Drosophila melanogaster: one gene and its partners. Changing the gene in region 1 together with any one later gene gives a genetic interaction. Each region holds a gene or a part of one and is shown in the gene's direction. Other genes may lie near its edges.

Region 1 (6,275 bases):
AATTATCACTGCAGTCAAGGTGAGAGATTCCGCCAGCGTTAAAAGCCTTCATCGATGTTCTCATCATATTTAGTAATTTCCTCAAGCACAAACAAAACATGCATTTATCGGGGTCCCATCAATGATTGGTAATATTTTTGACTTCCTTTTAACTTACAACTCGTAAAATCATTAAGTAAATCTTTGTCGTAGAAAGTTTTAAAGTTCCCGAAATGCATAATTTTGCTTTTAACAAGAATCGTTAAATAACAATGACGGACTTAGATTTAAGTAAAATTACATTAGTTATGAATTGTAAATTATTTAAGTTCTTTTTAACTCGAAAACAAAAAGATAACATTATGTATCTCCATTAAGATAGCACAAGCAGCTATGGGAGAGCAAAGCCTAAATGTTATCAGACTGCATTTTTCAAATGCTTTTCTAAGCGTAGGGTTGAAATTTTCTTGATCAAATACCACTAGCGTAGGTCTCACTTATATCACTCATAAGCCGGCTTACTTTTGCAAATCAAAACGAATGTTTAAATTATCGAGCCCAATAAACAAAAAATTTCAGTGAAGTTGAATTTATTTATATTTTCTGAAACTTCGCAATAAAAAAGCCCACAGTGTCCGCATTTGCTCCGCTTGGACCGAAGCGCTGCAACAGACGAGATTTACATGCCTCGAAACCGGGAAGCGGAAGTCCGGGACCGCCCCACCGGGGAGTGGCATCTGTTAGCCGCAGCTCGACAAATTTTCTTAGTGCCCAGGCCACAAGACATTCGCACTCATCCTCGGTGACGGTGCACGTGCTATATACAAGGATGCCGCCAGGACGAACGAGCTGCACTGCCTGTTCAAATAGCCGGCGCTGAATATGGGGATATGAGGACAAGACCTTAACCTGTTTAATGCTGCAGGACAACTGTGGCCGGTTGCCCAGCCCACTGCAGGGTGCATCGAGCAAGATTCGGTCAAAGCTTTCACATGGAAACGGAGGCCCAGTGAATTCTCCCACGGGTGCAGATGGAGCGTCCGCTGCCACTGCCTCGGTGGAGTTAAAAACATGCGCCGTTATGCTTTTGTAGTGTCCCAATTTGGGCAGCATGCTGCGGACGCGACTGGCCGAATTGTCTAGGGCCACCACAGATCCCCGATCGCCCATCAACTCGGCTATGTGGCTTGTTTTGTTACCCGGAGCGGCACACATGTCCAGTATGCGCTCGCCGGGCTGCGGATCCAGGACACGGACGCAAACAATAGAAGGCAGGTTTTGCAACAGGCCGTCTTCGCTGCTTAGATCCCCCAGCGTGGGCACTCCGCTGACGTTGGACTGCATTTCCACGGCCACTCCAGAGGCGGGCTTCTCCGCGTTGTTGAACAGCTGATACCGCTGCATTAACACCTTGCCTGTACCCAGGAAAACCTTATTTGGGCTTTCGTACCGCTTGACCGTCCCGCGCTTGCATTTTCCATCCAGATCTGCGTAGACATTGACGAGTTCCTCCCGCTCAGTGTTTGACTCCATAGCTAAAACACCGGGGGCGTATATGTGGGCGCCTCGCAGTAGTGCAGCTCCGCAGTTAGTGTCAACCACTACCTCCTTGAGCTCGGAGTCGGCCACAGCTTTGGTGAGCTGTGAGTCCAGCGGATCAATGCACAACATCTCGGGTAGGTTTGGCAAGCAGTAAATCCTTGGAGATTTTACACCGTAGCGAATGGCGAGTTTTTCTTCTAACTTTTTCCGAAAGTCGTCAACGGAACACCTAAGAGTGTTCACCCTGTAAGTGGTGACTTTGGGAGTAAGGCACAGCCATTCCAACAGCGGAGCAAGTGCAGCAGACTTGACAAAACCAGGAATTAACAGTTAATAAAATTTGCAAGCCAGTTTTTGTTGTAAATACGTATTTGTGCACATTGAAAGTACATACATTCACTTTAAGGATATCGGCTTCCAGCAACGGGTTCACCAAAAATGGTGTTTTTGGGTAAAACATATTAACATTTAACTTAGTTCAAATCACCTGGATAGTGAACTTTATCGAGTGAGCATTGTGCGACAATGATGAATCGATTAATCCAAATCGTTGGCAACTCTAGCCGAGGTGGCGGAGAAGAGACGTGGCAGCATTTCCCGAGTTTTCACCACGGGACTACACAACATCGGCATCCCGCTCTAGCTCATGCGCTGCGCCCATCTCTATCGGCAACGTTTATGTTGGTGAGTTTGCAGTTTTTTCAACAGCAAGTGTATTCTCGGTCAAGTTTTATTTTGCTCTGTGATTTTAGACATTTCCAAGCAGAAGTTTTTAAAATTTCCGCTCCTAGCCGTGTGCATTTGATTCAATTAGTTGGTGCGTATGCGTTTTCAGTCGAAAAAGGGGGTGGTATGTCAAGGCAGAGATACTTTTCTTGATTTTAAGAAGTTCCGCAGTAATGTAGATGTTCGTGTGAGTGTTTAGTGTGGGCTATCCACGAACACTCGCGCAACGTACGCGGCTGTGGTGAATAGTGGAAGTATTAGTATTGGAAGCCGCACGAATTAATCGTCGGTGCTTTGTTTATAGCATTATCGTAACAGGAGACAAGGACAAGCTCTCCTTTAATTACAAAAGTGATAGCTAAATTATATAATTGGGAACATTTTACAATCTCTGTTCGGCAGACAATAGTGACTTGTGCTCATCGACTATCGGTAGCGGATGCTATCGATACATTTCTCTCCATTATCTTTCTATTCGCAATTCGGTGTGTGGTGTGTTTGGCAGCATAGAAAATTCAATCAAAGAAAAGTCCACGAAAAAAGGCAGAATAATCGGTAAATGGACGTGTAAAGTGTCACTGAGCTAAAAGGATCTCAGTTAAAAGAAGTCCAAGTAACTTCGGACCGGTCTCTGTATTCTTGTAAAAACAAGGGACGGCGGCAGCCGCATTTCACCAACCCATAAGAAAAACAGCGTACGTCACTCACACAGACGCAGGCAACCACGTATAAAGTTCAAAGTTGTCTGATCCCGATCCGAAAGTGGGCTTAGTTGCGAAATGTCTGAACATGGGGCGTGGGCTGGCGAAGCGTTCATCTTCGAGCAGTGACGCCCTCCGCCTGGAGCTTCTATTTAAACGCATTAAAGGCAGCAAAGGCAGGGCGGCTCAACGCAGTTGGCAACCCTGGCGCCTGCGGGTGTATGCGTGAGTGTGCGGTGGTGGGCTGCCTCGCTTCCCTCAGCGCTAAATTAAAAGCTGCTACGTGTAGTTTTCGATTTCGGCTGCTTCCAAGCCAACTATCGTCAGCTGGCATCAGCATCTTCTCAGTAACGTGGAGCACCTATCTTTGCGCACTACCGGTCCGGAGAAGAAGTCTCTGGGGTGTTAGTTCCCTGTAACAAACTTAGGTTTTTGGATATCCGATTGCTGTCAAACGAAAGGTTTCCGTATGTTTCGCTGGCAACCTTTTTTCTTTTTGTGTTCGTGCGAAACGGGCTTGCTCATTGCGTTCCTCCATTTTAACATGAATTGCTTAGCCATCGGTTGCAGCCTGCTCGGTTGCAGGGCTCAAAAGGCGGCAGCGGTGACTCACTGTAGAGTTTGGGAGCTTCCCCTCCGCCCAGCAAGTTCGCCGAAAACTGCAAGTTACCTGGCCTTATCATTCACGCACTTCTCAGCCCGCACGTTTCTTGCGTACTCTGTGTAAAGTGGGTGGAGGACGTTGGAAGGGAGGCGCTGAGCGCCGACAGCCGTCATGGTTCTATACTAAAAATCGATATCTTATCAGCAGCCGCTAGCGGGGCAAACACTAAAAGCAAGCGACTCGTGTTTCATACATCCTCCATTTCGCGTTGTATTTAAGTGTGGAATTAATTACATAAACAAATTTTCTGTTTTTCTCATGCTGACGCATTGAAGACGTCCTTATTACAATAAACAAAAACGAATTTCGTTTCTTTTTCCGGTTTTTCCGCTCTTCCGGTTTTTGTATGACTCAGAGTGGGTAAGCGCCATTCAACACGTAAGCGCGATCATAAGTGAAACAAACACCAGAGGAGCTTCGGCGCATCCGTCCTTTGTGATAGCTCTTCCTACCACGAAAAATTCTCGCCTACAACTGTCTATTTTTGGACTCTTCACAGATTCTCCCACTCCATGCACACAAGTGTGCAGTTTGCATATTCTGATCGGTATAGCAACTCGGATTTGAACTTGTCATAATTCCAGCCAGCAGACAGCGAGCAGGCCAACCAGAGATCCAACTTCCTACGACTACCGAGCATCCGAAAGACAAACAGCAGCCATGGGAAACGTATTCGCGAACTTATTCAAAGGCCTATTCGGCAAAAAGGAAATGAGGATATTGATGGTCGGTTTGGATGCCGCTGGTAAAACCACAATTCTGTACAAACTCAAATTAGGCGAAATTGTTACAACGATACCTACCATTGGTAAGTATCTTATTAGCACCTTTAATGTATCTTGTCCAAATCTAATATCTAATGGTTGTCCCCCTAGGTTTCAATGTGGAGACTGTAGAATACAAGAATATTAGCTTTACAGTGTGGGATGTGGGTGGCCAAGACAAAATTCGTCCCCTGTGGAGGCACTACTTCCAGAATACACAAGTAAGTGTGATTTCAGCTTTTCCACAGATTCCAGAAAATTCTATATGATGTTAACAGCTTGTAATGATTATGCATTGTGATTATTCAAGTTTATTTTGTTTCAAGACGGGACTGACTATATTATCTTAGAGATCTATCTCCTACGATTCAAGCCAGGACAATTGGAATAAAGTTTTCATTTGAATCGTTACAGGGTCTTATCTTCGTCGTGGACAGCAATGACCGAGAGCGTATCGGTGAGGCGAGAGAGGAGTTGATGCGCATGCTGGCAGAGGACGAGCTGAGGGATGCAGTCTTACTAATCTTCGCAAACAAACAGGTAGGTCCAAGCAAAGGTTGTCGTTATCAGTAGCCAGTTGCTCGGTCCTTATATTGTCATACTAATATTGCACCTCGCTCTTTTCTGGGATCATTTTAGGATCTGCCAAATGCAATGAACGCGGCCGAAATCACCGACAAGCTCGGCTTGCACTCACTCAGAAACCGCAACTGGTACATCCAGGCGACGTGTGCAACTAGCGGTGATGGGCTGTACGAGGGACTCGACTGGCTGTCCAACCAATTGAAGAACGCTAATCGCTAATTAAACACTAAAATTAAAGCAACAATATGAATACAACTAACTCTGATTTCAAGCGAGCCGAAGCAGTTAACCAGCAACCAGAACCATAGAAAGAGCGGCTGAAGGACATCCAACATCCAGCGGTAAACGGTGGAAATCGACATCAGAAGGAATTTTCACAAAACAGCAGCAGCGGCACCAACACCAACAACAAGAGCAGCAGATCTTCGCATAACTTAAAGGGCTCCGCATGTCCGTATTTCCAAACAAGAAACTGAAATTGTTTATTGAATTGCAAAAACATAACCTTTCAAGCAGCATATAAAGAACGCTATAATATAATTTAAATTCGTATACATAATTATTGGATGTTTAAAAGCAAATCGAGTAAAAGAAAAGCCCAACCAATCACACAAGAAAGGAAACTATAGTATATGGTATAAAAATGTCTTTTTTAAGTTATTTTTGTCCTCTCCCTACCCCTCATCAAAATATATATTTCTTTTTAATTTTATAATATTAAAGTAATATTAATGAGAAAAAACTGTAATTGTAATTGCTCTTTAAAAATACAACAAATACCATTTTAATTTTTAACCCTTCTGTTTCTTGTTGTCGCTTGGTCACGCAAAATCCATTAAAAATCACGCATATATATAAGACCATATTAAAAAGGAAAGTACTACTTAAAAGGTAATTTGAAATAAAATTTAAATATTAATGAAAACTACTGCGCTGTTCGATTTTTGCACATGCGTTTCAAAAAGTCCGCGCAAAATCGTAACTGCCTATCGATACCCTGGTGCCATACACATCAGTTGCCTATCGAATTGTCTACACTACAATAATTTCGGAATTTAACGTTGAACAACACTCAGCGACCAATTGTCAGAAAAAATCGTCATTTTGTTTTATAAATTGGCAAAAGATTAAATAAAAGAAAGCACAGCATGTCCGCCAAGCAAAACCCAAAAAAGTTAAAGTGGGCGCTGGACTTTAACGGGAGGTAAGGATTGCTAGCCTGCGCGGTGACTCAAGTTCTTACCACTTTTGCTTTTTCCTGCAGCAAAAATGCTGATATTCCTTCGCCGCTGGGCTACAATCCATCTGCTTTGG
Region 2 (4,876 bases), on another chromosome or scaffold:
ATTAGTAAAATCTAATAGGCAACGCATAGACCTAAAGAATTAGAATGTGGTTTCCCACAACGATCAAAAAAAAAAATATTAAAACATTTTCAAAAGGTGTGTCAGTTTTGGGCGGTTGTGGGCGTGCCTCTAGAATCGTTTTATCTAATCTCAACTCTCTAGCTATAATGGTTCCTGAGATGGTGGTGTTCATACGGACAGACTGACATGGCCAGATCAACTCGGCTATTGGTTCTGATCAAGAATATATATACTTTATAATAATAAATAAATAATATACTTTATATGGTCGAAAACGTTTTGTCTGTTACATACTTTTTAACGAATCTAGTATACCCTTTTACTCTACGAGTAACGGGTACAACAAAAATGCTATATTCGACTTATGTTCTGACAGTCAGATACCCGTTACTCAGTTAGTGGAAATGGTGAATTGATTGAGAAAATATTTAAACAAATTTGAAAGTATGGGCGTGGCAAAAAGTTTTTTGGTAAATCGATAAAAATTTACAAGTGTAATAAAAATATAAAAAAAAATTTGAAAACATTTTTTAAAAGTGCAAGGATGTGCAAGTTTTAGGCGGCTATAGGCATTAGGGGGGCTTGGCAACTTTCTATCTGTTATATTTTGGAAGTGACAAACAGGTTCTTTTTTCGTCTTGGGCAACTATTATAATATATTATATTATATACTAAATAACAAGTTTACAAAGAATTCACTACACTAGTAATAAAAGCTATCACTACTTCAAAGTTAGCAGACCCAATACGAAATTCAATGACCAAATAGAAGTCAGCACCAAAACTTAATTACTTAAAAATTTCTTTGAGTGACAGAAGGAAAACTTATATTAGGACAGTATATTTCTTAGATTAGATTTATGGAAGATAACAATGTACTAATTTCTGAATTGTTTAAATAATATCGAACGAGTCAACTACCTTATCCAAACCGCTACCGGAGCACTATCCCTTCGAAAGCTTAGTCTCATTTCTCAACAGCTAACTATAATTTGAAAATATTTAGAATAAAGTTATTGTTCGATAGGCTCATGTTTTTTTTGGGATGAAAGGGGATTTTTATTAAATGTCCGAAAATAATTTTTCGTCACTAAAGTTTGGTATGGTATTTGGCATGATGCGATCGTCAAATGTTTTTACCGAGTCACTAACTTGGACATAGTCTCTAAAACATACTTTTGATTTTATTTTTACTTAGTTCCGAACTAGGGGTCAATAATTTAAGTTATTGAAATTCAGTTGCCCCGCGTGGGACAATCTAATCGAATGCTAATTGTAATTCGGTTATTTATCCTGCGCACTTCATTGGGGTCGTACAAATAATGAGTTCTGATTACAGCGATTGTGCCCAAGTCTAGTGTTGCCGATAAGATAGCCGCAATAGATACTAAGCAGAGCTACATGCACACCCAAAGTGCCGTTGTGACTCATCGACTCCTCGACCATTGTTGCGGGTCCGACAATAGGCCTGTACTCGATCAGCGATTTTTAAAAGGTGTGTGAACCGCGCAGAAAGCTTTGGAAAGCTTGTAGAGTTTGTGCCAATGCCTCGGCAGAGAACTTGTTCTTATGGATTGTGGCTGACCTTGCCGTAGAAGCCCATTATGTTTTTATTTGCATAATACCTTAGAACAGTCGAAGGGTTTTCGGGCTATCGCATTTCAATATCTTGGAGATTATGAAAAGCTTTGCCAGCTGTTTTGAAGTTCGCAGCTGTGCTCTGGAAAACTCCCTCTCCATTACCAACTTGCGGCATTGACGCTCTCGCCGTAACCGTTACCCGTTAACCGTTTTGAGCTCGGCGACCTAAGCTTTTGGCTGCGTCGCGAGGTTTAGTTAATATTATTAACCGGAGTGACGGCCAAGTTGTCGCAACGTTTCTCGTGGATCGCAGATCGTGGCGGTAAGGCGAGCTTTTTGCCGGGGGCTCAAAGTGTGAGTGTGAGGTGTCTTCAGTTTGGTTTTTTTCACATAGCGTGGCATTACTCTCTTTGACGAATTCAATGCGACGTCGCGCTTTTTTCGGTTCTGCAACTTCCGTTAGTCGGTGGCTCGAAAAGTAAACAAAGTGCTGCATATCGCATGCAAACGTGACAATCTTTCAGACGCACTCCAACTTGATAACTTGATAAGCATCTGTGAGATGCAAAGATACAAGTTATAAAGCACCATCTCGCGAAGCCATGTAGCCGAGTGAAAAAAGTAAAATATGCGAAAGCAGAAAAACAAAAAATTTGTGCGTGTGTTAGTTGGCCATTGTGCAAACCTTTAATGAGCTGGAAGCGCCAAAAGCCAAATACCAACGAATATAAAGAGCACGCGAAACATTCAGTTATATTTGCAAAACTTGGTTTTGTGTTCACGCAAAGATAACGATATGCCATGATAAAAATTTAATTAATTATTTTTCAATGCAAGGGATATAAAAAAAGAAAAGTATACACGCTGTGACTGAATGAAACTTGGAAGGCAAAATTAATTTAAATGATTATTTTCGTGGCGCAAAGTATCCTTCCTTCCTCTACTTACCTCCACGGCAATAAGTCCATTATACACAAACGCGGTATTTATAATTTGTGGTTTAAACAGCCTCCGCAGGCCGCAGAACGGACATTTTTCACGTAGGCGAACTGTCGATGCGACTGAGAAATGCAAAAAACTGGAGCCGACAACAAAAGCTTCCTATCTATAAAGCCAAAAACCGATTGCCAAAAATAAAATAGAGCCCATTAAATAGCCCGCGTAAAGCGCACACAACAATGATGGCCACGTGCTTGGATACCAAAACCAGCAAGAACCATGAGGCCCAGCAACTGCAACTGCCCCGGCAGGCGTCATCGAACGCCAACTTGCCACATTTGCAGGTCCGACGTCATCGCCGCAGCATCTCACAGCTGATGGCCAGCATGGGTAATTTTTAGATCTGAAGATAAAGATATTTTCATTTGCATAGATTACTTGGTTCTCGTAGAGCGGCAATGAAATATGTGCGTCATCGTGAGATGAGATAAGAGTGATCATGTTTGCTAAGATATTTCAACATTTAGAACTGGTTGGCGGTAGGTGTTATGGTATGCGAAAGTGAAAAATCATTCTGCACCAAGTTTTCATTGTTTCAATTTGGGGCGATTTATAACAATGAGTGTGCAGTCGAACTTAAATAAGTGTAGTAGTGTAGGGAACCAAGAACTGATAACGATTTCATTGCCTAAATAATAAATTAGCCGAACAATACCCGTTTCCTTTGGATTATATAAGCCTTTACCCACTTATTGCTTCCATCAAATTGCGTGTTGGGCTCGGCCTAACGGTGCAATTAGTAAATGAATCATAATCAATTTTAAAATGCATGACGCGCTGCAAGTAACGATACATGCCGATATTGTTAAAAATATATCGAGCCTGATTTACATTTGTACTCATGCTCGATCATTGCAACAGGAAGTTTCGATTTCTTTGCAATTGTGTGTAGGTCAGGTGAAGCAAGCGATCGGTGGGTTTAATAACCTTTTCAGTAGACCGGCCACTGACAAAACCCGCTAAACAAAGGCGATTCAAAATGAACGCCCTCGGTCTGAGGACATTTTGATAACGGGCATTAAATGGAAAGCATTAACATTCCTGCAAAAAAAAATACAATGCATATAACAGAATTTTTCAGTTAAATCAAAAATGTTTAAGTAACATTTAATTCGGCAATTTAGAACTAGTTTTTTTTCACACCAATGCCCTATCAATAGGAATGGGATACCACAGCTTTATTCGCCACCATAAAAACGTATTATTGTGGTTGGAGTTTAGTTTTTTCAACGAAAAATTGTATATTCTTGAAACAAAATGGGGTTACTTCTATTCGTCTTATCTGTTAGTGATAAAAGTGTCAAGTTTTTTTTAAGTTAATTTGCTTGCCAAAACCAATGAGCCAAAACTAATGAGTTCGGCAAATCGCTTTGAAAGTGAAAAGGTGTTAAGAAATTATGGTTCTTTTATTGAGTACGGTGTTACACTTATTATACCGCCTTAAATTTCTGAAAACGGCGGCCGATGATTGAATAATAGGTCCAAGGTTTAATTATATCCACAATTCTCTTTAACGATTCGTCTAATCAAATACATTTTTGATGGACTTAAATTTTTTTATTTTTTCACTTTTATCACAAATCATGGAACTCGAGCATTAAAGAAGTTTTTGTTTTTGCCTCCAGAAGTTTTTGTTTGGTGACTTGAAGCTGATAGCAAAAAGAGCTTCGTGATAAGGCATATGCCAACACTCGTTATTTTCACTACCCATATAATAACGAATTCAATACCAAGAATTTATGCCTGCCAGTTGAACTTGCCCATAAGCTAGCCTGTGTATGTAAAAGTGTGGTAATAAAACTTTGATGGCACTTATTATGATAGGGTATCATGGAAGTGCCCCAATGTCATTGATCATTGACGGCCATTATCAAATTCTTTGCACTCGGCGTTCCAGTTTATTTTAATTATCACAAGTGATAAGGAGCAATCGTAAGTTATGACTCGTTCAATTGTTTGATAAATTAAACCAACAACTTCTGAAACAGTATCTTAACAAAAATTTTCAGGTGTCGCTACCTTTTTTTTTTAAAAAACCATTTTCGATTTTTGAATTTTAAATATTTCTATACGCGGTACTCAGCGGACAGAAATAAAGTTACTCTGTGAATAGGCGAATAGGACAGGACACCTGTTATTGTCTGCTAATCAAAGCACTTGACTAAGTACTGATTTATTCTGTTTATTACTATCGTCGATAACTGAACCTGTGCACTTTTGCAAAGCCGTGCCGCATCCATAAACTCACTTAACCGTCATTGGTTGGCCTACCTAC
Region 3 (4,737 bases), on another chromosome or scaffold:
TTCCACGAACAAAACATATGACATATGACTCACCCGATAGGAGCAACAGTATGAATACTCCAATATGCATCAAGCCCACTCGAGATTGATCCGCTCGGGAGTAGTTTAGGTGATACAGAATGGGAATCAGGATGTCCAGAACATCGGAGCTCTTTAGCACAAAATACAGAAACTTTTTGTTGTAGTCGCATATTTTCCAAAACAAAATAAGCAGCTCCTGGTGGCAATGAAGTCGCTTTGTGGAATTGGGCAAATAGTTCTGGACCAGTGGGTTGTTCAGCAGCCTGGTTATGCCCTTGAGCACAAAGTGAAAGTCCTCGTCGCGGTGAACCCTCGAAAGATAGTTAATGAACAAGTTGTCGCCGCAATTGCCCTCGTCGTAGGACGCCTGTCCGGGTTGTGTGAGTTGCTGCTGCACCACCATATCGTGATCCAAGGTGACAATGAGCAGTTGAAGGCACGCTTCCACCAGGGGCTCTGTGGTGTCTGCAAACAGCAGGTGATTGTAGGGCACGCCGAAGCCCACCGGATCGTAGGAGCACACGGTGTTCAGAAACGAGGTGAACAGCGGCAGGGCATGGCGATTGTCGGCCGAGGTGAAATATGCTATCCACTTGTTGGGCTCCTCGGACTGCTGCGGCGATCGGTACATGGGCTCCGAGAAGCAGGTGAGTAATAGCTTCAGCAACTCCGTGCGCCTGCGCTCCATGTGGGCGTTGTGGGGCGGTGACTGGGCGAAACCCACGCCCGCTTCCCAAATGTACTCGCAGCTATCGATGTTCGCCAACTCCTCGGCCTTCTCGGGGCCCGCACGCCGCGTGGCCGTAACCGTGAAGTCGGGACAGAAAAGAAGGTCGCAGGTGGCATTGAGCAGTGACTGAGCCAACGGCATGGTCTTGTCCTGCGATGGCAGGCTGCTCCAGAAGAAGTCGCGCCACTTTTCGTCCTCGAAAATGTACGGCAGACACCGGACGAGCAGCCGCACGCAGTTCAAAACGCACTGCTGCTCCGCCTGCGTGCGACAACTGCTGTCTACCGCCTGGGCAAGCTTTTCCACCGCCTTGTAGCATAAGGTGGCCAGGTTGGCTGGATTCTCGTTCCGTATCTGGCGAATCTCGCTCGAGGTGACCAGCGCGAACACATCCTCCAGCGTCGTCTGGTGGCCCTGCCAGAACTGCTCCCAGAACTGCTCGTCGCTGGGGTCGATCTTCTGGTTCTTCTGCGTCAGCTGCACAATCGCCTTGCGAAAGTTCAACTTGGAGTCCGTGTTTCCCATATTGTTCGGCCTGTGGGCTGCTTTGGTATCGCTGAGTCCTGTAAATCCACCTGCCCCGTGCTCGATCGCCTCAGTGCAAGTGTGCGCAGTAGTCTGGAACAGGAATGCTTTGCATTTAATGCGATTCTTTTTCAAAAATCGAACGATTCCAATTAGAAATTCGCCTACGCACCAAATGCCAGTGTAACTTAGTGGTGGGTGTAACGCTCACGACTGAAGATGCGTGCGTGACTGATTATGCTCACCTGTTTTGGCCCTCATATTCAAATATCAATTTGATTAAATCAATTTGATCGACAGCTTGGCAACATATTTTATTTTAAAAACAAGGTTATATTTTTTTTATATACGCTTGCAGCTGTATTTCAATTTAATCTATTGAAATTTCCGCATCGAGTTGGCATCTACAGCTGTGCCAGTGCTGCGAAGCGACGAACTGCCGCGCCGGTGTTGGAAGACGCTTGTGCAAAATATTCGGACTGCACACAAGAACATAAACGACACGTAAACGTCACCAAAAATTAGCAGCTTACCAGTTCGATTAGTTAGGATTAGTGAGAGATGCCCAACTAGGCAGCACGCCCAGATTCGTCCAGGCAGCGTGAGTGTGCGAGTGGGCAAGTGGCGAGTGCCAAAACATATGCGAAGGTCGTCGGGAAGGGAGGAGGAGCTGCCCTGCCCCACGAAAACTGCAATTTTCAGCGCTAGCCCTGGAACTGGAAGCCAACTAGCTGCAGTCGTAGAGACACCGCAACGGAGGACACGCGGACACCATGGCGCTTCCAGGCAACGGCATCTACGTGGTGCGGGGCGAAATGGCCACCCTGATGACGGCGATGCGACGTGGAACGCGTTGGAATGCCACCGCCTACGTGGTAAATAGTGCCCCTAATGCTCACTGCGAATAGAAAGTATATGGCCCTTTTGCACATCCACAGGACGACGAGAATGACTCGCTGCTGAAGCTGTTCATTGACCTCAAGCATGAGCTAAATCGGATCGAGGACCTGCGTCAGATCGAGCCTCAGGTCTTCCTGGCTCCGTTTCTTGAGGTGATTCGCACGGCGGACGCCACGGGTCCGTTGACTAGTCTAGCCTTGGCCTCGGTTAACAAATTATTGTCTTACGGGCTAATAGGTATTATGATTTAGTGCTTACCCTCTGCATTTGCTCATTCTGTACCTATCCACAGATCCCACGTCTCCAAATCTGGCTGACATTGTGGAGCGCATTGCCGATGCTGTGACACATGCCCGCTTTATGGGCACCGATCAGTCCTCGGATGGTGTCACCTTTATGCGAGTGATTGAGGTGCTGCACACGCTTATCCGCAGTCCCGAAGGAGCCGCCGTCAGCAATGTGTCCATGTGCGAGGTGATGCTCAGCTGCTTCAAGATCTCCTTCGAGCCGAGGCTGAGTGAACTGCTTCGTCGCTCGGCGGAAAAATCGCTCAAGGACATGGTGCTGCTCTTCTTCATGCGCCTTCCCCAGTTCGCCGAAGAGCGAAGTGACACCATGCTCCAGAAGCGATTTACTATCGGCGATGCTGCCAGCGGAGCTACCCAAGAAAAACTAAAGCGTAAGACGGTTGCCCAAGCCCAGACAGCACCCAGGAAATCGTCAGCAGTGGAGGAACCGCCTCAAACACCGCAGTCTGCCAACCTGACGGTGCCAGGGCACTTGAAGGCACCCATATTGGCCACCACACCCGCCAGTCCAGCGGGAAACATATTGGACATGCAGGGCAAGATTACGCAGACACCAACAACAACGGCGAGCACGGGGGAAGATGAAACCACTGTCCCGGAGACTCCTGTTATTCAAGTGGAGTCGACTGAATCGGAGCCCTTGCTGGACGGCGAAACGGGTGAAGCAACCAGCACCCTGGCCGAGGCAAATAGTAGCGAGTACATCAACTCGGTGGGCGTCCGTTTTACACAGCAGTCCACCGATCACGATGTAACATCACTATCCCCTTATGGCCTGCCCTTCATCCAGGAGTTGTTCCGATTCCTCATAATCCTCTGCAATCCTCTGGATAAGCAGAACTCGGATAGCATGATGCACACGGGTCTTAGTCTACTTACTGTAGCTTTTGAAGTCGCAGCCGATAATATTGGAAAGTATGAGGGCTTGCTGGAGCTGGTTAAGGACGACTTATGCAGAAACTTAATATCGGTAAGGGACTCTTAATTGCTTCGTTAGTTATTTCTGACCTAACTCTTTCCTTTCCCTACAGCTTCTCAGCTCAGAGCGGCTTAGCATCTTTGCCGCCGATTTGCAGCTCTGTTTTTTGCTTTTCGAGTCTCTCCGCGGACATCTCAAGTTTCAGCTGGAAGCCTACCTTAGAAAATTGAGCGAGATTATTGCTAGCGATAATCCCAAGACGCCCTACGAAATGCGAGAACTCGCTCTGGACAATCTACTGCAGTTGTGGCGCATTCCCGGCTTCGTCACGGAATTGTATATCAACTACGATTGTGACTTGTACTGCACGGATATGTTTGAAAGTTTGACAAACCTACTGAGCAAGTATACGCTGTCAGCAACGAATGCAGTTTATAGCACCCACATTATCTCAATGGACACCCTGTTAAGTGTGATAGACAGTATCGAGCGAAATTGTGCCGCGAGCAAGAATAGCAGCAACAACAGAGAGTCCTTGCCAGAAGCTGCCCCAGCAACAGGTGGCAGCCGCCATTCTCGCCACAACAGCGGATTGGAGGGAATCGTAATTGATTCTGGCAATAGTGTAGCTGCAGAAGAGAAAGTGGAGAACATCGCAAGCTTTATAAATGCGAGCTCACATCGACTACGACTACAATCTGGCGGAGAGGGAGTGGGAATAACCAGTGAACAGCTGGCCAAGGTCAAACAGAAGAAGCGTCTGCTATCCCAAGGCACAGAGCGATTTAATCAGCGTCCAGAGAAAGGAATCCAGTATCTGCAAGAACACGGCATCCTAAATGCCGAGCTTGATCCCATGCAGGTGGCCCTGTTCCTTCGAGAAAATCCCGGGCTCGATAAAAAAATGATTGGCGAATATATCTCGAAAAAGAAAAACGTCGACTCTAAGATTCTAATTAATTTTGTGGACTCGTTTGATTTCACTGGTCTTCGAGTGGATCAAGCATTGCGTCTTTATCTGGAGACCTTCAGATTGCCCGGAGAGGCTCCATTGATCTTTTTGGTGCTGGAACACTTTTCTGATCATTGGCATGTGAGTATACACATCTACTAAAATACTTGCAGTCTCTGATATTAATCATGTATGTATCCCACCAATATAGAAACAAAACCAAGATCCGTTTGCCAACGTAGACGCTGCTTTTCGCTTGGCCTATGCCATCATCATGCTGAACATGGATCAGCACAACTCGAACGCGAAGCGTTTAAATGTTCCAATGACGCTCGAGGACTTCACTAAGAATTTGCGTGGTCTAAACGGTGGCGAAGATTTC
Region 4 (4,591 bases), 1.8 Mb from region 1:
GCACGGCAACTGGGTGCCGAAATCCGAGGTGGTCTTTCCCGAGAAGGTGCTTTCCCATGCGAACGGTGTGTCCGCAGAGCAGATGATTCGCGCCAGAGATTATATAGTGAGTTATAGTATGGGTGTAGCGATCACTTATCTTGTACTAATCTCCTCAAATCCATCCGCAGCTCTTTCGTTTCTCCCGCACGCCCTACCTGTTCCGAGCTCAGGTAATGGCCGCCACCCAGTTACCTCCTGCGGAAACACTTGACGTTTTGAAGACTGTGGCCCGGGTGAATAACACAAAACGGTGGGAGCTGCTACTGCCACCCGACAAGGAGTTCGAGCAAAAGTACCCGGAACTGGTCAGCCGACAGGAGTACCACTGGACCGCTTCCGAGCAGCACTACAATGAAATGGACTGGGCTAGGGAAACCAAACGTGTTCGGAAACGTTCGACGAGGAAGAGCGAATCCCAGTCACTGACTTCAGCCATGCCGCCGCCCGCAATGAATCACTCAACAACTGGCTCCGTGGATGCGTAGCATCGGATGATGATCTCCCAGCGGCGGAGAATCGGCAGCACGATTATACATCTAGGCACTATTAAAAAGACCAACAATTTTACTTTGTTAAAGAAGTGCTTTTGTAATCTCTTCTGTAATCTCTCCAGCCAAGGCGTTCCTATTGAATTTGGTCACCTGGTAAATCTTGGATCCTGCTGACTTTCTCAGCTGCTCCACCAAAGCCAATGTTGATTTCTCGGGTATGGTGACCAATAGGGCCCGCTTTTTCTTCAGGAGATCAGCCATGGCCGACTCAAATCGCTTGCTAAGCAGCTCCATTTTGCCCACTTCATCCACGACCAGGAGATCCGGCTCTGGTTGGGAATCCTGTGTGCCAAGTACTGGCAGAGCGAGACTGTCGAAGTCCTGCACAAACACCGAATACTCTCCCACTTTGGGTCGTCGCAGCTGGTCCCCGGGATTCTTGCGAGATAGGATTGCTCGTTTTCCGGCTAACGTGACCACGTCGAAGCCGATTCTTTGGCTGGTGCCCTCACCTCGCATTTCCTCTGTGTAGAATCCTTGAAGAATGCGTCCTCTATCCTGCAGAGCCGAGCATATTTTGTGGACCAGTGTAGTTTTACCCACTCCTGAAAATCATGATTACATACATAATAAACAAATAGCAAATATTTTCCCAGCTAAATTTGCACCTGGTGGCCCAGTTAGTATAATGGTTATATTTTTTTGGTTCTTCATGTCGGCTTATTATTACAATACCAATTTTATAGAATATTTTTGTGGTGAACTAGATCAACCAGGAATGGATCATTGGCAGTTCCAAAATAAATCTTAATTAATGCACACATATTTAGATTTAATGAGTTTTAAATTTATCAAAGAAAGAAAATGCTTATGTATAATAATGAGCATAAACTTAAGATTGTTTATGCCCTTCTTAAATAAGATGAAAACAACAATATATTTTAAAATAAAACGGTCGTCTTAAAATGCCACATTTGATGCGGTATATTTTTTGAATACGATAGCGTATTTTGAGTTGCATGCTCTATGGTCACACTGCGGTGCCCCCCAGCACGTCCACACTGTTTCCAAACGTCGAACGACGAGTGCGTCGTGTTTTTCGTCGCGCGTGAATTGAAAATCCGTAATTCCGAGAATATTCGTAATCCCCCTCCGATCCGCACCAACTGTTGCTCGCGATTCGAAGTGCTGGCTCTGAAGTATAATATACGAAGGTCATTCAATTACAATACGAGTGAAGTTTCAACTCGCAGCAAGCTGCATTTTCAGTTCTTATTGTGAGATTCAAAGTGGTTCTGCCTGTTTCGCTGTTTTATCACCCTCTCCACCACCTTCCCTCATTCGCGCGAGTGCGTGTGCGTGGCGGGGCTATAATGTTTTGGCCACAAAAGCACATCGATTAGGAGTGCAGCCGATCCCCGCTAAGGTTATAAACAAAACATGTCCGAGGCCGATCTGAAGAATCTATCCCAGAACTCGGATGGCGACCAGGAATTGCTGCTGCATCAGACCACGCAGTCCCTGCTGATGGCCAGCTCCATAATGTTTGTGGGAAACCAAGGAGGGCCGGGCGGTTCCGCTGGGGGTGTCGCCCCACCTGGACCCGTTTCCCTGCCCCTGCCCCTCTCCATCAACATGCCCCATCACCATGTGCATGCGATGCCCTACAATGTGGACGAGCTGCTCCGGGAGAACAATGCCCTGCACGCCAAGATCAAGGAGTTGAGTCTGGAACGCGATCGCCTGCTCTGTGAAGTGTCCAATCTGCGACTGGAGCTGGACATGTCGGAGCTCAAGCGACTGCCCGTCGATCTCGATGATAAGTGAGTGCCCACCAATGTTTACTATCTAGTAATATATTCAAATATCTGTTAAATAAGGGTGAATTAATGGCATATCATATTTTCCTATTGGACATCCCGCTTAAATGGAAACTTCCAATAGGAAGAGATGCACTTTAAAATTGCGGTTGCAAAATAATTTTCATGGCATTTGGGGGCCAGAAAAAATTTGCAATGTTCAGCAATTTGATTTCAACATATTTAAAAAGAATTTTGTCGATATTGTTCTAGATGTGTCAACGAGCATTTTACATATTACAAAGAACAATTTCTCACTAAATACTCTGTAAAATGCGGTTGTTTATTTTGTGATCTCATTAAGAGCCAAAATATTCCATTAAGTAATTATAATCAGTCAGGAGATAGTATTCATCTTTAAATTGATTATATTTTGAAACAATATATATTTAAAATCTTTTCTGCTATACTACCTACTTTTAAAGCTCTTCTTTAATGCTTCTTATCAGAGCGGCATTTCGCTTTTAAGTTTCAGGTCAAGGCCTTTGATATATCTGTATATATTGTAGTTTTATTTATACCATAATTTAATCTGCACATAGGCCAGTTTTTTATTTCCCTTTTCTGATTAGAAATTAACATTTTAGCTGATAAGAAAAAGAGCTGGAATACATAATTCATTCAGTGAAGATCCTTACTTTATATTTTGTGGTTGTGTGATCTTAAAACAAAAACTTGAAGCCAAAGTACCATTTCTTCTTCAGCACTCAAACAAAACCACAAAAATCATTGATTTTTTTTTTGGATCGCCATTTTCGGCTGCATTTCCGTGACCCCCAACTCCAATGTTTCCTTGCCCCCGGGTTGAGTCAACTTCTCGTTGAGTCACATTCATTCGTCCCCTTGTCCTTGCCACCTTGGCAGCTGCAGGCTGACAAGTCGGAGTGCGACTTCTGGTTTTTGCAACCCCTTTTTGCACGCCGGTCTACCTGTGGGCTAATCGACACAGTCGTGGTCGCAAAATGAAGTGCACCGTGGCGATAGGTATTTCCGTACATAAAAAACTCATGCTTATCTGTAACAGAACAATAGATAATGTTGTATTTATTTCGTTGCCAAATTGAATGAGTCAGTTGTGCTGTGATAGAACTACAGTTGCTCTCCGCTTATCGATCGACCAGAATTCTCTATTTGTTTAGTTCTGCTGATAACTAATGTGTAGTGCTACTTCGGGCGATAAGAGCCGTCTCAGGGAAATTCAATGTTAAGACCGAGTTTCGATCACTTATTTGGGGTCTTTCCAGGGGAGATTAACCTCACAAATGCATGGGCAAACAAGAAAAGAAATATTATAAACCATTCGCCTGGCATTTTGCCATTGACAGTCGAATAAAGTTGGGAGTATCTTAATATTCGTACCTGACTTTGCTTTGCATGCGGTCATGCCCCACCGCAGACAATCTTTTAAATACAGATATTTTCGTATATATGATGTATACATATACAAAGTGGGCGCAAATAAAGCGCAGTTATCTTTTAACCGTTTTCTTTATTTTCGGGGCTTCTTGGCCTCTAAGGTCTGCTAGTAGTAGAATCGTGGGCTCTTCCAATTATTCGCTTAGCGTTTTCTGTTTATTTTTTATGTCTCGGTTTTTGCAGCTCACCTTCGCCAAAACTTTGAAACACAAAACACCAGAAACTTTTAAACTCGCATTCGTCGAATGTATAGATACTCTTTTAGAATTGTTATTTATTGTCACGTTTTTATATGAATAATCACTTCAGATATCTTATATATAAATTAATCTTTCAGATCAGATTATTTTGAATAATGATAATTTAGTTGATAGAGCATAAATGAAATTGGGAAAAATGCAGGATTTGCTTATCAAACGTTCCCTGCATATAAGGTACATTTCCTCATTTGTACCACCATTTTTTACGTTTTAATTAGCGAATCTAAATGTAATGTAAAAATGCTTACCACGGCTTAGATCCACTTTCAGATTAGAGTTGTACAAGATAAGCTGCACGCACCTAGTTGGCATATCTTTCATTATGGAAAAGAGTATGTCACGATGAGACATTAAACTCAAGATCAGAGATGTTGTTGAAATTGTGCGGGTAGCTTTCTGTCTTATGAGTACGGTTCCGCTGCTCCATGAATGTTGTTGTTTCTCTCTGTACACTGGGAGAACTTACGTGACTCACAATTAAAGCATTTTATTTATTACCATCATTAAAAAATAAACAAAAACA

Evidence for each region.
Region 2: of Arf1 (region 1) and Pld, changing one suppresses a phenotype caused by changing the other (phenotypic suppression), as found in Drosophila melanogaster (one study listed by BioGRID).
Region 3: of Arf1 (region 1) and garz, changing one enhances a phenotype caused by changing the other (phenotypic enhancement), as found in Drosophila melanogaster (one study listed by BioGRID).
Region 4: of Arf1 (region 1) and siz, changing one suppresses a phenotype caused by changing the other (phenotypic suppression), as found in Drosophila melanogaster (one study listed by BioGRID).

Annotation. Positions count from the first base shown.
Region 1 is NT_037436.4:22,867,987-22,874,261, reverse strand, and holds Arf1 (ADP ribosylation factor 1), read left to right. Parts: upstream 1-2,030; 5' UTR 2,031-2,205; exon of another isoform or gene 2,206-2,449; intron 2,450-2,537; exon of another isoform or gene 2,538-2,942; intron 2,943-3,174; exon of another isoform or gene 3,175-3,415; intron 3,416-3,967; exon of another isoform or gene 3,968-4,047; intron 4,048-4,111; 5' UTR 4,112-4,272; coding exon 4,273-4,420; intron 4,421-4,487; coding exon 4,488-4,597; intron 4,598-4,639; exon of another isoform or gene 4,640-4,717; intron 4,718-4,790; coding exon 4,791-4,916; intron 4,917-5,015; coding exon 5,016-5,180; 3' UTR 5,181-5,754; downstream 5,755-6,275. Other genes in the region: CG11109 (uncharacterized protein), read right to left, coding at 574-1,827, 1,916-1,981; EMC4 (ER membrane protein complex subunit 4), read left to right, coding at 6,110-6,165, 6,226-6,275. UniProt on the Drosophila melanogaster protein: Small GTPase involved in protein trafficking between different compartments. Modulates vesicle budding and uncoating within the Golgi complex. In its GTP-bound form, triggers the recruitment of coatomer proteins to the Golgi membrane.
Region 2 is NT_033778.4:6,243,654-6,248,529, forward strand, and holds the start of Pld (phospholipase D), read left to right. Parts: upstream 1-1,858; 5' UTR 1,859-1,924; intron 1,925-2,610; 5' UTR 2,611-2,780; coding exon 2,781-2,931; intron 2,932-4,876.
Region 3 is NT_033778.4:12,324,625-12,329,361, forward strand, and holds the start of garz (gartenzwerg), read left to right. Parts: upstream 1-1,735; 5' UTR 1,736-2,049; coding exon 2,050-2,151; intron 2,152-2,214; coding exon 2,215-2,413; intron 2,414-2,468; coding exon 2,469-3,454; intron 3,455-3,515; coding exon 3,516-4,496; intron 4,497-4,566; coding exon 4,567-4,737. Other genes in the region: CG8841 (uncharacterized protein), read right to left, coding at 34-1,276.
Region 4 is NT_037436.4:21,032,946-21,037,536, forward strand, and holds the start of siz (schizo), read left to right. Parts: upstream 1-1,589; 5' UTR 1,590-1,973; coding exon 1,974-2,356; intron 2,357-4,591. Other genes in the region: Polr3E (RNA polymerase III subunit E), read left to right, coding at 1-106, 171-527; CG10581 (uncharacterized protein), read right to left, coding at 615-1,138, 1,202-1,247.